2 linked regions of the Astyanax mexicanus genome follow. The protein of the gene in region 2 purifies or fractionates together with the protein of the main gene of each other region. This does not show direct contact. Links are inferred from orthologs where the notes say so. Each region holds a gene or a part of one and is shown on either strand. Other genes may lie near its edges.

Evidence for each region. Proteins that work in one complex are often made in the same cells at the same time.
Region 1: the proteins of acbd6 (region 2) and nmt1a purify together in Homo sapiens (co-immunoprecipitation; 3 studies listed by BioGRID and IntAct, with this or other methods). This does not show direct contact. The link is inferred for Astyanax mexicanus from reciprocal best matches to the Homo sapiens genes ACBD6 and NMT1.

Annotation. Positions count from the first base shown.
Region 1 is NC_064426.1:25,287,232-25,294,835, forward strand, and holds the start of nmt1a (glycylpeptide N-tetradecanoyltransferase 1), read right to left. Parts: upstream 3,036-7,604; 5' UTR 3,011-3,035; coding exon 2,901-3,010; intron 1-2,900.
Region 2 is NC_064419.1:9,253,712-9,261,084, reverse strand, and holds the start of acbd6 (acyl-CoA-binding domain-containing protein 6), read right to left. Parts: upstream 3,090-7,373; 5' UTR 2,939-3,089; coding exon 2,798-2,938; intron 1,666-2,797; coding exon 1,601-1,665; intron 997-1,600; coding exon 900-996; intron 1-899. Other genes in the region: xpr1a (xenotropic and polytropic retrovirus receptor 1a), read left to right, coding at 6,578-6,646. UniProt on the Homo sapiens protein: Binds long-chain acyl-coenzyme A molecules with a strong preference for unsaturated C18:1-CoA, lower affinity for unsaturated C20:4-CoA, and very weak affinity for saturated C16:0-CoA. Does not bind fatty acids. Plays a role in protein N-myristoylation.

The sequences.
Region 1 (7,604 bases), on a different chromosome or scaffold from region 2:
GCATGCACTAAATATCCAGCAAAATATTCTAATTCAGACATCTTACTAAGCACGCCTACTGTTTGGATAGAATTAGTTTAATTTAAGGAGGTTGGAATTGTGATTTTACAATATGTATTACCATTATTAAAACTTTAATAGTTTTTTTTTTTTTTACAAGGCCAATTACCCAACCCACTCATTAGGACTCCAACACCAGTGAGGTGAAGACATAGCACTAGCACATAGAAGGTTTGAGTGTAAATCTGAACTGGAAGAGTCTAGCATGTTTGACATCCTAAAAAGTATATCCACAGCAAATTAATTTGGCTTCTAAACTGTAGAAAACATGTCCATACATTAAATTTAATTGGACCATTTCATTAATCCTAACAATTTACCTACACCGCTGCCCATGTTTACACATTTGCGTTTGTGTGTCCACGATTCTCTGTCGCTCAGCAGACTTTGTGGGCAGAACCATGAGGCTTGGTGGACCAAAAACAACTGCTGCTGTCTGTGTCATGTGATGTGACGTGATGTGGGAGGCGTGGGCATAGGATAAGGCGAATTATGATATGCCATTTCTATGTTCCAAGTTTTGTAGCCATTTTAAATTCCTCAAATCCACGAGTCCCAGTAATGATTTTTTTTTTTTTTAGCTTCCATAGGACATGAAAAAAAAGTCACTGGATTTGATGATACTAGTTACGGTCCTATGACATTTGGCATATATTGTATAGTGTATTAAAAATAAGAATAAATAATTACATTTACATTTATGGAACCAAAGGTGGTTCTTCTATATTGCTTGTTAAAATTTTATATGCAAAAATCAGTTTGGCTGCAGGGTTTTTAGGACAGCCAAGCAGAAGCACATGTCATTCGTTGTTTGAAGACTGACCAATTGGTTAAACCAGTGGAATCAGATGTGCTGCTGGTTGTTTAGAATGAAAACCTGCAGCCGAATTGGCCATTTGCTGGCCAATTGGACTTTCCTGGCAAAGGACCTACACTATAAGAGTCTGTCTTTAGTAAAGCTAATATCCAAATAGTTCTTTATTATATTAATATAAAATTAATTTTACCGTACTCATACCAATCCCAAATTTAAGGCTACCCACAAAAATGATGCACTTATGTGAACAGCACAACCACAAAGCAATCAGCAGCTCTTTAAGCTTTGTCACTTACAAAGCAAATACCTGATTACAGCAGGGTTCACTTGAAAGAATTATATAAATGATAAAAGAAGGTGGAACTTGATATATGAAAGAAAAATAACAATTAACAGCAACTATATTAAAACATTGAACAGATGAAAAGATGAGGGAACACATAAAAAATATGAAAGACAGGTTGAACAAAACCTCCCTGAATTACCCTAGGGGAATTAGGTTATAATGTTGAAAGTGAAAGCGAAATAAATTGTTGTTTGCCTGATATGAAGCACGTTTCACCATATTCATATCCATATCTGCTGCCAAAGCACACACAGCACTTTATTGTGTACTCATTTGTGGCCTAAAGCATTTTCTTATTATCTAATGTTTTCCAGTTTGAGGGCTATATCTGTAGATATAGAGAACAATAGCTCTGTCCTATTCTGTGTATGTAGCTACAGTACCAAGCAAACCTAGAAAATCTAACCTAACAGTTTCTAGCTAGTAGCTAACTAGCAGTATACGGGCAAATCATGGTGTCTTGCTTTCAGTATTTGGTGATTTTGTTTTGTTGGCTGTAAGTTACGTCTTTGGTTTGGTTTTATGTGACATAATAAAGCATAGGTAATTTCCCAGCTGTGCTGCGCTATGCTAACTTTTAAGGCTTAAAACGTAGCTAACTATACCAGCTAAATAAACAAATTGCAATGTAGCTAACTAAGTTACATTCTGGACAGGTTTATAAATATGTGTTATCGTTAGCTAACTAACTTTGCCTCCCAGCATACACAAATACATTTGGCCAAAACAGGTGTTCACCTTCTGAAATGTCACTACATTTATAAATGTAACCTAACGTGGAATACCTTAGAAATGACGCCTAAATGTAGAAAGAAATTCTGAGAAAGAATTTAAAAATGTAGATTAAACTGATTAAAGCTAGCTAGAAGGCTGCTAGCTACAGACATGCTGGCTAGTCTGGTCTAGTTAGCTAGCTGTTAGCAAGGACAGGGAGGCCTCTATATGATTTCTGTTCTAGTTAGCTAAAGCTAACTTAGCTAGCTAGCGACCTGCTTTATCCATTACTAACCTACAGCTTAAATGCTATAGCTAGCTATTTAGAACAAGATGGATATAATAGCTGGATATTTACTTATATGGCCATCTAGGTTATTTTACAAAGTAACAGTTGGTTATTATATTAGCCAGCTCGTTTAGTTACCCAGGTTAGTTAGCTAGATAACTTGCTAGCTAGCTAACTAACCTGAGTGTTAACCTAGGAACCCAATCGCTCAGGGTGGTTCATGTGCCAGTAAGCTCAACATTTAGCCCATTTAAACAACCCAGGCATCAATATAAACATCTAGCTAGTACGAACATTGTAGCCAAATGTTAAATAAAGTAATATTTATACTATTATGTCCCAGAAACTAAAAAACGTGGTTAGAAATGACAGTATAGCAGCGCTGAGCTTTCAACACAGAGAAGCAGCTTAGCTTTGAGCAGCAGAACTAAAGAAACGAGGTTTTAAGTCCCGCCCATCTCCTCACAACCCACCCGTATGCTCCAATTACAGCGTAGAACGCATTGTCAATCAAACAAACAGACCAATCCCAACCGTCCAATGGGCGGGTTCCTATGACTCCCGTTCCTTTGGCTTCCACTGACCCAGCCGTATGACGGCCGAGCATTTAAGGCTGCGGACCACGACTGTTTTAAATCTCTAACCGCAGCAGCAGCAGAGTTTGCATCGCTTACCCGTCGTCAAAATGGTGCTCTTCATTTTCGCAGTCGCTGCAGTGTCCGTGGTCCTCTTCTAGCTCCTCTTTTTTCTCCGGCTTCGGTGCTGTCTCATTCTCATCCGCCATGTTTAACCAGGAAATGAGGGACTGGTCTTGTAAAAGTCCGAACACGCCCACTGTCACACAGCCTTATGGTCAATGTAGTTCATAGCAACACACGAGGAAGAACGTTAAAGAAATAAATACAGAAAGGGGACTTTTGGTCAATTAATTTTGGAAAGGACGTAATTTGTTATCTAAATACTTGTTATATAAAAAACTATATTTTTGAACATTCATTTTTTTTAACACGCCCCTTGACAACGGCAGCCCCATCAACTTAGCCACACCCTATAGCAACATTATTTGAGGCCCTGTCAGTAAACTAACAGATTGTCCCTTTTAATCTTTTGAATCGGTTCTTCCAATTTAAATATTATATCATATGCATTTTTACTTGTGTCCATTATCCAATTTGTGTTTATCAGCTCCTATTTGTGAATAAAATATCCATGCAGTAAATTGTAGTATGTAATATTTCGTGCAGGTTTCCCCACATGCATTCTATGTAATTGACTGTAAAACATTTGGGCAAAAAGATGTTTTCAGCTCGAGGCCCACATCAGCAGCCCCCTAAACCTCCAGAAGAGTTGGGTTTCCCTAGTAAATGTGTTTTACTCCCTCCTAACCCTTCTCTTCCTCTCTCAACCCAGGGAGACTTGTTCATGAGCAAGCACCAGAAGATTGCAAGACTGTCTGTGTGCAACAGGAGCTTCACAGTGCACCTGCACCCTTAACCCTGTAGTGGCCAATGAAATTAAGTGTGGACGTGAGCTTGGCCATGCAAGGATGTGTGTAACAGTTTTTGTAGGTGGTAGATTAGATTTTACACTTCTGAAGGCTTATAATAGTTTTTACATCCTTAGTGTGTTGTGCGATTATACAAATGATAACAGTCCTGACATTGGCCAGCATGTATAATTGATAACAGTTGTGCACATTGTATCTACTGATACAATACAACCAGAAAACAGAGTAGGGCTCTTAATATGAATAAACGGCTTATCTCTAAAGTGTGTTGTATTTTTGATTGTCTTGTAGTTATTGCAGGTAGCAAAAGTTTGTTAAATCAATATTCATTTTATCCTTGTCTTAATCAAAACATTAGTGCATATCACTTTTTATTTATTCAACATTATGGTTTTATATGTGTTGTTTGTATTAAATATGTATTTTCATAATTATTATACCTTGTACTGATATTCTGGTGTATAAAGGGCCATTTAAATAAATATCATAAATGACATATTTAGGGGAGCACAATTTGTCTAAAAGCATTGTGAGTGTAGAAGAGTCCCAACTACTCAAAGCCTTTAATAAACATTGACTCAAAGTCTGAATTTTACCACTAACAAATGCCTCTAAGGGTATGTTAAATAAAAGGTTGTTTTTTCATCAACATTAAAGGTGTAATGCAACCATAACTCAATGTTAATCAAAATGTTCTTTGCTATCTGGGACATATGAAAACCAACACAAACTTAGTATAATGCTTACTAGTGTGGCTATTAACCAGTGTTCCAAATACATTTTGTTTAAAGGGGTTATTTTAATCAATAGACTCTGAATCCAACTAGATACAGTTCTGTGGTACAACCTGATGTTCAAGAAAGAAAGCAGACAGAGAAAGAAATCGACATGAAACATAAGACACAGTTTGTCAAATTAACTTTTTTTTTTTTTTTTTTAACATTCCACAGGGAACAATATATGTTTAGATTCTGGCAGTGGTCTAAGAACCACTGCATGTCATCCATTTCTTTTTTAACAAAAAAATGAATGGGGACAGTACTCTCTCTGGGAGCATTTGCTGGTTTGAAGAATGAAACTGCTGCAGTTCCTCTGCCACTTCCTCCTCCTCCTCCTCCATGACTAAAAGTCTACATTGGCCTAAAGCATGCGAAGATCGAGCTTTTGAATAGGCTGGTGAGCAGGTTCAGTTTTTAGAGAGGGTGGACAAGCAGGCTCGTTTTTTTGACCTAGAGGGTGAGCATGTCCAAGCTTCTGATGAAGAGAGGAGGGTCTGACCTGCTGCACTTCACATGTCCCAACGTTTGACCTCCATTTAACCCTATGCACTGTTTCAGATGATCTTCTTAAAAGCATCTTGGCATTGAGGGCAGTGGTAGTCTAGTCATCCTACAGTCCAAATTACGTCTGCATATCCTGAACTCTGTAAATAAAACACCAGTTTTTGTTAAGCATGTCATGAATGCTTAACATGTGTGATTCATCTTTACATAAATAAACTTAACTTTGAAAGGAGACTGAATTCTTTAAATGCACATCTAGGTGGCTTGTTGTCTGTATCGTTTTGCTGGTTTAAACTTTGGGCATACTGGGCAATGAGCATGTGCTGCATTTCTTTATCTGAAAATAGCATTCAAATGGAACAATGGAATGGTGCGTCTGAAAAAAGAAAAAAAAACAGAAATCGATCACTTCACAATAAATGCATAATCAAAGAGCTTTACACTGTTCACATAGATGTCATTGAATAATTAATTACAGACCATTATCTATACATTACTTACACAAAATGGCAAAAAGTAAATAAGGTAAGATAAGAAATGGTTGGTGAACAAAATGACAAAGATTAAATTACAAAATATTTCTGACAATTATTCAAAAGACATTCAAAGTGGGCTCCAGCTAGAGAAGTCGTCGCAACCTCCTCACTTGTTTCCATTAGACTGGGACCATCGCTGCTGTTGGCATCCTCCAGCTCAGGAATATTTAGGACCTCTGTCCTCAAAGAGAAAGACTGAGACCCCTTGATACGCTGTGATACGTGTAACAGAACCTTTATCATAAATACAGTGTCTTGCAAAAGTATACCCCTTGAACTTTTCCACATTTTGTCACGTTACAGCCTCAAACTTAAATGTATTTTATTGAGATTTTAAGCGATAGACAAACACAAAGTATTGCATAAGTGTAAAGTGGAACGAAAAACATACATGGTTTTCAAAATTTTGATCAAATAAACATCTGAAAAGCATTCAGCCCCCCAATACTTAGTAGAGCCACCTTTCAGTGCAACTACAACTATAAGTGCTTTGGGGTTTGTCTCTATCAGCTTTGTGCATCTAGAGACTGAGATTTTAGCCCTATTTCTCTTTATAAAACAGCTCAAGCTCAGCCAAGTTGGATGGAGAGTGTCTGTGAACAGTAGTTTTCATGTCTCGCCACAGATGCTCAATGCGACTGGACCATTCCAACAGATGAATATTATTTGATCTAAACCACTGTATCTCCAGCTGTATGTTTAGGGTCATTGTCTTGCTGGAAGGTGAATCTCCTTACCAGTCTCAAGTCTTTTGTTGCCTTCAACAAGTTTTCTTACAGGATTGCCCTGTATTTAGCCCCATCCATCTTCCCATTAACTCTGACCCTCTCTCTGTCCCTGCTGAAGAAAAGCATCCCCAGAGCATGAAGCTGCCACCACACCATGTTTCACAGTGGGGATGATGTGTTCAGGGTGAGGAGCAGTGTTACTTTTCCTCCACATATAGTGCTTTGCAATTAGGCCAGAAAGTTCAACATTGGTCTCATCTGACCACAGCACCTTCTTTCACGTTTGCCACAACTGCAAACAGCAATTCATACATTTCTTTTAACAATGGATTTCTTCTTGACACTCTTCCATAAAGGCCATATTTGTGGAATGAATGACTTATGATAGTTGTCCTGTATACAGATTCTGCTACCTAATTTATGGATTTCTGCAGCTCCTCCAGAGTGACCATGAGCCTCTTGGCTGCTTCTCTGACCAGTGCTCTCCTTGCTTGATCTTTCAGTTTGCACTCAAAAAAATAAACTCACCCTGTTGTTGATTTTAATCAAGTATTTTTAATTAAAATTACTTAACAGCTTTGTGTTAGCAAGTGAAACCTGAGTCAGTTGGACTGCTGTGATGAAAGTCAGTTAAGTTGTCTGATTTAATTAATAAGTGCATGTTTGGTGAACGCATCCCAGTGAAGTAAACTCAACAGGCTGGCTACTTTCTTCATCCGGGACATTCGTGGCTGTCTGTGGACTTCTCTTCAGCAGCAGCGCCATTTTATTTTGGAAAAGCAGAGAGTGCGGTGAGTATTAGTCATAAATATATGTATATTTAAGCTGTACTTGGTAATTTATTAAAAGCGGTTCGTGTGTATGGGGAATTTAGGTAAGAGAAACCTCACTGTGTAATAAAATATCTACCTGGCCAGTCAGCTTCATGTTAGCTAGCTAGCCAAGTTAGCATTAGCGTTTTTTTAATCACAAAATGCTTTTAAACTCAATTCACGGAATTGCGGTCGCATCATGTGGGTCTCGTAACCTCAAATAGTGTACATTTTAATTTTACGTCTATCTGGATACTCATATCTGCCAACCAATGTGTAAATTACGAGCTATGCTAGCGCTAGGGCGCTAGCGTTAGCTTGCTAGCGTTAGCTTGCTAGTGTTAGCTCGCTAGCGTTAGCACCCTAGCGCCAGCATAGCTCGTAAAACAAACTTTTAAACTCAATTCACGGAATTGTGGTCGCATCATGTGGGTCTCGTAACCTCATATGGTGTACATTTTAATTTTACGTGTATCTGGATACTCATATCTGCCAACCAATGTGTGAATTAC
Region 2 (7,373 bases):
TTCAGTTCACTTCAGTTTAATACTGGTCTGACTTGATTCAGATTCAGTTTCATACGATTCAGCTGATCCAACAAGACTCAGATCAGATCAGATCATCATTCAAAATCAGTCCACTTTAGTTCAGTACTGATTTAAAATGATTCAGTTTACTTCAGTTCAATACTGATACAGTTCAGTTTAGTACTGATCCTACATGATACGATTAAGTTCTCTTCAATTTAGATCTGATACTACTAGATACAATTCAGTTCACCTTCACTTTAATACTGATCCAACATGATCTGTTTCAGTTCAGAGGTCTAAACAGGTCTGAACAGGTTTAAAAGTTCAGCACCGATCCTACTGGATATGATTCAATTTAATGCTGATCCAAAATGATACAGCTCACTTCGGTGCAATGATTCAATCCTCCTCAGTTTAGCAGTAATCCTACTGGATATAATTCAGTTAATTTCAATCCAGCACGGATCCAAAATGATTCAGTTGACGTCAGTTCAGTACTGATTCAACATGATTTGGTTTAGTTCAGAGGTCTACACAGGTCTGAACAGGTTTGAAAGTTCAGCACTGGTAATACAAAAGCATTTAGTTCCCTTAGTTCAATAATGATCTTACTGGAATTTACACATTTTATAGAACTGATCCCACTGAATACACCTGTTATTTGATTTTTAATAATAGTGTTGAACATAGGTCATCAAAAAAAAAAAAAACATTTGCTGAATGAAGGGAAACGTTGCTTAGGGATTCTAACAGTCAGACACTGCCATCTGCTGGTCACATGCAGTCAATACTGACTGCAGCAACTGAAATTATTTCCTTTTATCAAAATATACAACATTTAAGAGCAGGACAGGTGTGTGAGTGGTGCTGTATGAAAGGGCGGGGTTTAAAAGTACCTTAGCGCTCCCTTCTGGATCCAGCTCATTTACACACGACACATATTCTTGCATAGCCTGTTCTTTACTCATATCCCCCAGATCCTTCCACGCCGTCCTGCAGAACACACACACATACACACACACACACCTCTTAGCATTATAATATCATACAGAGGACCAAAAATAATCTGTGTTCTGATGTAACAGTTATATACACACTGATCAATAACATCATAAAATGATGACTAGTTTTTATACACATTATTCATTTGACTGTATAGGACACTGTGTAGTTCTAAAATTACAGACTGTAGATCTGTATCTGTTCTCTGCATACTTTATTATTATTATCCTCCTTTTATCCTGTTCCATAATACTCAAGACCCCACAGGAGAGAAAAACAACTCAGAGCAGCTATTATTATTATTATTATTATTATTATTATTATTATTATTTGGGTGGTGAGTCGTTTAAAACCTACAGCAGCACTGCTGTGTATGATCGACTCATATAACAGCACAACACACGCCTTCACCTCACAATCTCTGTTTTTCTTTAATGCTTCTAATGTATAATTTAGTTAAATGCAAATACAAAGAAAACTTGACAGATATTAAACATGTTATTAACTGTGACTAAATATACCACAAGGGTAATGCAGTTTATTTATTTATTATTATCTGTCTAAATCAACTGTCTGTAAACATGCTGAGACTCACCATTTTCTCTGACCCTCGAAATCGAAGAATCCTGGTTTGGGTGTGTCACACTTTCCAACTTTAGCCTGGTGAATAAACAGCATAAACATTATAAGAACAAATAAACATTATACAGCATTATATTACAGCGTACTACTCTTATTAAATGTTATTACAGTAGAAATACACTGTTTCTAACAAAAATGGCCAGTGAGTGAAAGCAGGTAGGTGTTTCTAATAAAGTGGCCAGTGAGTGGAAGCAGGTGGGTGTCTTATAAAGTGGCCAGTGAGTGGAGGCACAAGGTAATAAGTAGGTGTTTCTAATAAAAATGGCCAGTGAGTGAAAGCAAGTAGGTGTTTCTAATAAAGTGGCCAGTCAGTGGAAGCAAGTAGGTGTTTCTAGTAAAGTGGCCAGTAAGTGAAAGCAAGTAGGTGTTTCTAGTAAAGTGGCCAGTCAGTGGAAGCAGGTACGTGTTTCTAATAAAGTGGCCAGTCAGTGGAAGCAAGCAGGTGTTTCTAATAAAGTGGCCAGTCAGTGAAAGCAAGCAGGTGTTTCTAGTAAAGTGGCTAGTAAGGGGAAGCAAGTAGGTGTTTCTAATAAAGTGGCCAGTCATTGAAAATAAGTAGTTGTTTCTAATAAAGTGGCCAGTCAGTGGAAGCAGGTAGGTGTTTTCTAATAAAATGGCCAGTGAGTGAAAGCAAGTAGGTGTTTCTAATAAAGTGGCCAGTCAGTGGGAGCCGGTAGGTGTTTCTAATAAAGTGGCCAGTCATTAAAAGTAAGTAGGTGTTTCTAATAAAGTGGCCAGTCAGTGGAAGCAGGTAGGTGTTTCTAATAAAGTGGCCACAGAGGTGCACAAGGTACAGTAGGTGTTTTTAATAAATGGGTCAGTAAGTGAAAGCACAAGGTAATAAGTAGGTGTTTCTAATAAAGTGGCCAGTGAGTGGAGGCACAGGGTAATAAGTAGATGTTTCTAATAAAGTGGCCAGTGAGTGGAAGCACAAGATAGTAAGTAGGTGTTTCTCATAAAGTGGCCAGTGAGTGGAAGCACAAGATAGTAAGTAGGTGTTTCTAATACAGTGGCCAGTCAGTAAAAGCAGATAGGTGTTTCTAATAAAGTGGCCAGTAAGTGTAAGCACACGGTAGGGACGTTTCTATTAAAGTGTCCAGATGTGGTTGTTAATATGAGGATAATCAGAAGCCCCTCCCCCTCCTCTCACCTGTTTGTACCTGGCGTACAGGTAGAGCAGCTTGTCTCTGGGTGCTGTTTGGACCAGTTCTCTGACCCGGTCCGCTGCACTCTCGAATTCCTCCTGAAGCTCCGAACCGTCAGAGTCCGGCGAGGACGAGCGCGAGGCCATGGCGGGATTATTAATAAGAGTAATGATACAGAGAGGAGCAGCACTAATACGCGAATTATTATTATTAATAACAGTAAAAACAGCGACGCTGCGGGATAAACCTGCTGATCTACAGCATTCAGCTTCACACACACCGCTCACACACACAACATCCGGGTCACGGGGGCGGGGCCTCCTCAGATCCCCACCCGTATTGTGCCCCGCTGTGTTCTGATTGGCTGGTTCACTGTAAAATCTGCAGAACTAACATTTTGACTCCATTATTTACTGAACTATACATAGTTCACGAATCATTCAAATGTAGTTTGTATTTTATTATTTAATGCTCCTTTGAAAGGGTTATTTAGTATTATTTAGTATTTTATAATTAATCATTATCTGGATTTGTGTCTGCATTATACTCGATTATTTACAGTATTGTGTGATTATGGTGTGAACTGTGGGCTGGATTTTTATTTGTGTTTACTAAACTTTATGCTTAGTTATAATCTATTACACTAAATATATCAGAAATTGTCATGAATTATTCATATTGACATCAACATAGGATTAATAGGACAATTTAAAGAAAATAAAAAAAGGATTGTTTATCATATTTATTTATTAGATGTTTGATGCGTTACCTAATAAATATGTATTAGAGTGCTAATTTTAATAGAAACGTTGCTGCACAATTTACAGAATTATTTAATGTATTTTCTGATTCATTATTCGCTATTTTCTCTGCATTTTACTCACGATTATTTATAGGATTGTGGTTGTTATGATATCAATTTGAGCTGTTTTTTATTTTATGTAATTTAGTGAATGTAAATATGCTGAGTTATAATCTATTTCTATAATTATGTAACCCATTTTGAGATTAATAGAATTATATACAGAAAAAATGGATTAATCATATTTATTTATTTTACGTTATGTTGGTTGTTTTACACACCAGCATTAAAATAATAAGTAGTAAGTAGTAGTATAATTATTATATAATTTACTCTATGTTGCATTGTTTACTGTAACATCTATAACTACTTAAACCAACAAAAATATATATTTTAATGTTGTTTGTTTAATATTGTAATTAATGTTATTATAATATATATTTTATTCGAAGTAGCCACTCAGTAAGAGGTCAGGATTTGCAGATGGCGGAAAACAGGCGTAAATAAAAGTGGGTTCCTATTGGTCCGGGCAGGTCCGGCGCTGTAAATGCTCCGGATTGACCCGGACTGAACGGTGGAGCGGGATTACAGAATGAATACAGAGTTCGAGTTCGGTCTGATTAATCCGGCTTTACTGATTCTCTGGATAACTTAAATCTGAGTTTTATTAAACACAGCGCGTGCTGTTTCGCAGCGAGCATGACCTGGGCCAATCAGAGAGGAGCAAGCTCTCGAAGACCACGAGCTTCTGACCAATCAGGGGCGAGCTTTATTTTTCTATTTTTTTCTTCAATTATCTGTTATTCTAATATCTAATATCTTCTAATGTCTATCTATTTTGTTTGTTTGTTTGTTTGTTTGTTTAAACTCTGTCATATAAAGAAAGCATTTTATGCATTTTTACCTGTATGCGTCATTCTGGGACGAGCTTCTAACCAATCAAAGCCGAGCTTTATTTTTATGTTCCCAAGATTTACATAGTTTGGAATTTTATAAAATAAAGGATGAATTATTTTTAATTGTAGTTATTTAAAAATAGTGATGTTTTACATTATAAAGTTATACAGTTCAGTTTTTGTGAATTAAAAAGTGTTAAACAAACCAAATTATGTTTTATATTTTAGATTATTTTAAGCATCACATTTATCTTTGAGTACAGATCTGCACACTCTAGGTGAAAACTACCTGGAATAGTTTTCTCAGTGTCTTAAAGGTGTTCCTGGAGGTGCTGAACAACATTTGCTGCTTTTTTGCTGCTTGTTTTGTTTACTTTAATTACCACAAGAAAAACATTAATTATATTTAATATTTTGTTTGCCCATAAATTAGTACAGTGTTTATTTATGTTGAATAATAAAGTTGCATTACTGGCTGAGCCCGCAGGGTGGCGCTGTGTCCGTGCGTTTTACACACACAGAGTGCTGACTGTTTGCTTCTTCAGAGGAAAAAACTCACACGACTATTTTCCAACCTTTCTTTTATCCCTATGTTTAACACAGTGCTTTCAGGAGCGTGTTAATAAATAAATTAAAGACATATTTCATACTGAATAACTTCTGAATAATTCATTGTAGATACTGAGTGTTACTCTTTCAAGGATTTCAGGTTCGGCTGATTTTATCCGGTCCTGTCTGACTAATGATGGAGACTGATGTTGCTACTGGATTGTCTCACACTCTCACAAATATAACTCATCCCATTATTATATAATATATCCACATGACTTCAATGGTTTTGCTAACCTCAGCATCCTTTTTAGGCATGAGAGCCTATTAACATAAATTAAATAATTTTGCTTATGTCTTATTTACTTACAATTTTTAAGCACCTACTTATTACGATATTTGTTTTAATTACAGTGTACAAATATGTATGCCAATAATTACAAGTTAATTGCTATTTGAATTAATTGTATCATTATATGTTTACCATTTTTATCAGTGGCATAAAAAAGAGTTCTCAGAATGAACCAGGCTGCTGTAGTGCTAGTAGTATTTGTAGTTGTTGCAGCAGTAGTAGGTGTAGTAATATAATTAGCAATAGTAGTAGCAGTAGTAGCAATAGTAGTAGAAGTAGTAGTTGTAATAGTAGTTGTTATGGTTTTAGTTGTAGCTGTTGTAATAGAAGTAGTAGTAGTAGTTGTAGTAGTATATGTGTAAGGTTGTAATAGTCATAGTAATTGAGTAGTTGATGGTTTAATCAATTATGAATTGTTTTTTTTATTTTCTTTATTATTGTTGTCCTTGTTATTAATTTTTGGTATATTATAATTTTTCCTATGCGTGCTTTGTGACAGCCTCAGCTGTGAAATCTGTGAAATACAACATATGTATTAAACTGTTATTAATATTTTAGTAGTAATAGTAATTAAATCAACCTTTTTTAAAATTCAATACTAATAATGTAGGCAAGTTCACTGTATAGTAGTAGTTTTATTTTTTTATTTTTTAAATTAATAGTAGTAATTTGTAATAGTTGTAGAATATTTAATTAATTATTTTTTCATGTTATGAAGTAGCTGTAACATTTTAACATATTATTATTATTATTTTATTTTATTTATTTTTATTTTTTATCTGTATTTATTTATTTTTTGCTATATTTGGTGCTATGTTAAATTTAAATAAACGGCAGCGCGTCTGTGCGTCATGACGCAGGCCGGTGTACGCCGCAGGGGAGGAGGGAGGGGCAGAATGAGAGAGGGGGCGGGGCCTGTTGAGGAGGGCGGGGCAGTGAGTGGGTTACAGCAGATTCAGTCGCAGTTCTTCAGTCAGACTCTCTCTCTTTCAGTCTGTGTAACTCTCCCTCTCTCTCTTTCTCTCGGACTGAGTTTGTTTACTCGGGCTCGCGGATATGCCTCTGACAGCGTGATAAGCGCGCGGACAAACACACGGCAGAGATTATCCCGGAGCTTTAGTGTGTGTGGAGTGTGTTGAGGGGTGAGAGAGTGTGCGGGGGGTGAGGGAGTGATCGGATCTTCAGGATGAAGTTCGCTGAGCACCTTTCAGCCCACATCACCCCCGAGTGGAGGAAACAGTACATCCAGTATGAGGTACACACACACACTCACACACACTCACTCACACACACTCACACACACTCAGGGGTCAGTGAGGTCAGAGAGTGTATAAAGTGTAACAGCATGACCGTGAACTTTGGACCTGAATTATTCTTGAATTAAAGTCAGTTTTCCAACCTGTTTAGATTTATTCCAGATTATTCTGTCCTGTTCAGATTTATTCCAGATTATTCTGTTCTGTTTAAATTTATTCCAGATTATTCTGTTCTGTTCAGATTTTTTTCCAGATTATTCTGTTCTGTTCAAATTTATTCCAGATTATTCAATCTGTTCAGATTTATTCCAGATTATTCCAACCTGTTCAGATGTATTCCAGATTATTCCAACCTGTTCATATTGATTCTGGGATTATTCTGCCCTGTTCATATTTATTCCAGATTATTCCAACCTGTTCAGATTTATTCTGGAATATTTTGCCATGTTCAGATTTATTGTAGATTATTTTGGCCTGTGCAATTTTATTCCAGATTATTCCCACCTGTTTAGATTTATTCCAGATTATTTCAGCCTGTTCAATTTTATTCCAGATTATTCCGATCTGTTTAGATTTATTCCTGATTATTTCAGCGTGTTCATATATATTCCTGCTTATTCCAACCTGTTTCGATTTATTAAAGATTATTCCGACCTGTTCAGATTTATTCCAGATTATTGCAACCTGTTCAGATTTATTCCAGATTATTCCAACCTGTTCAGATTT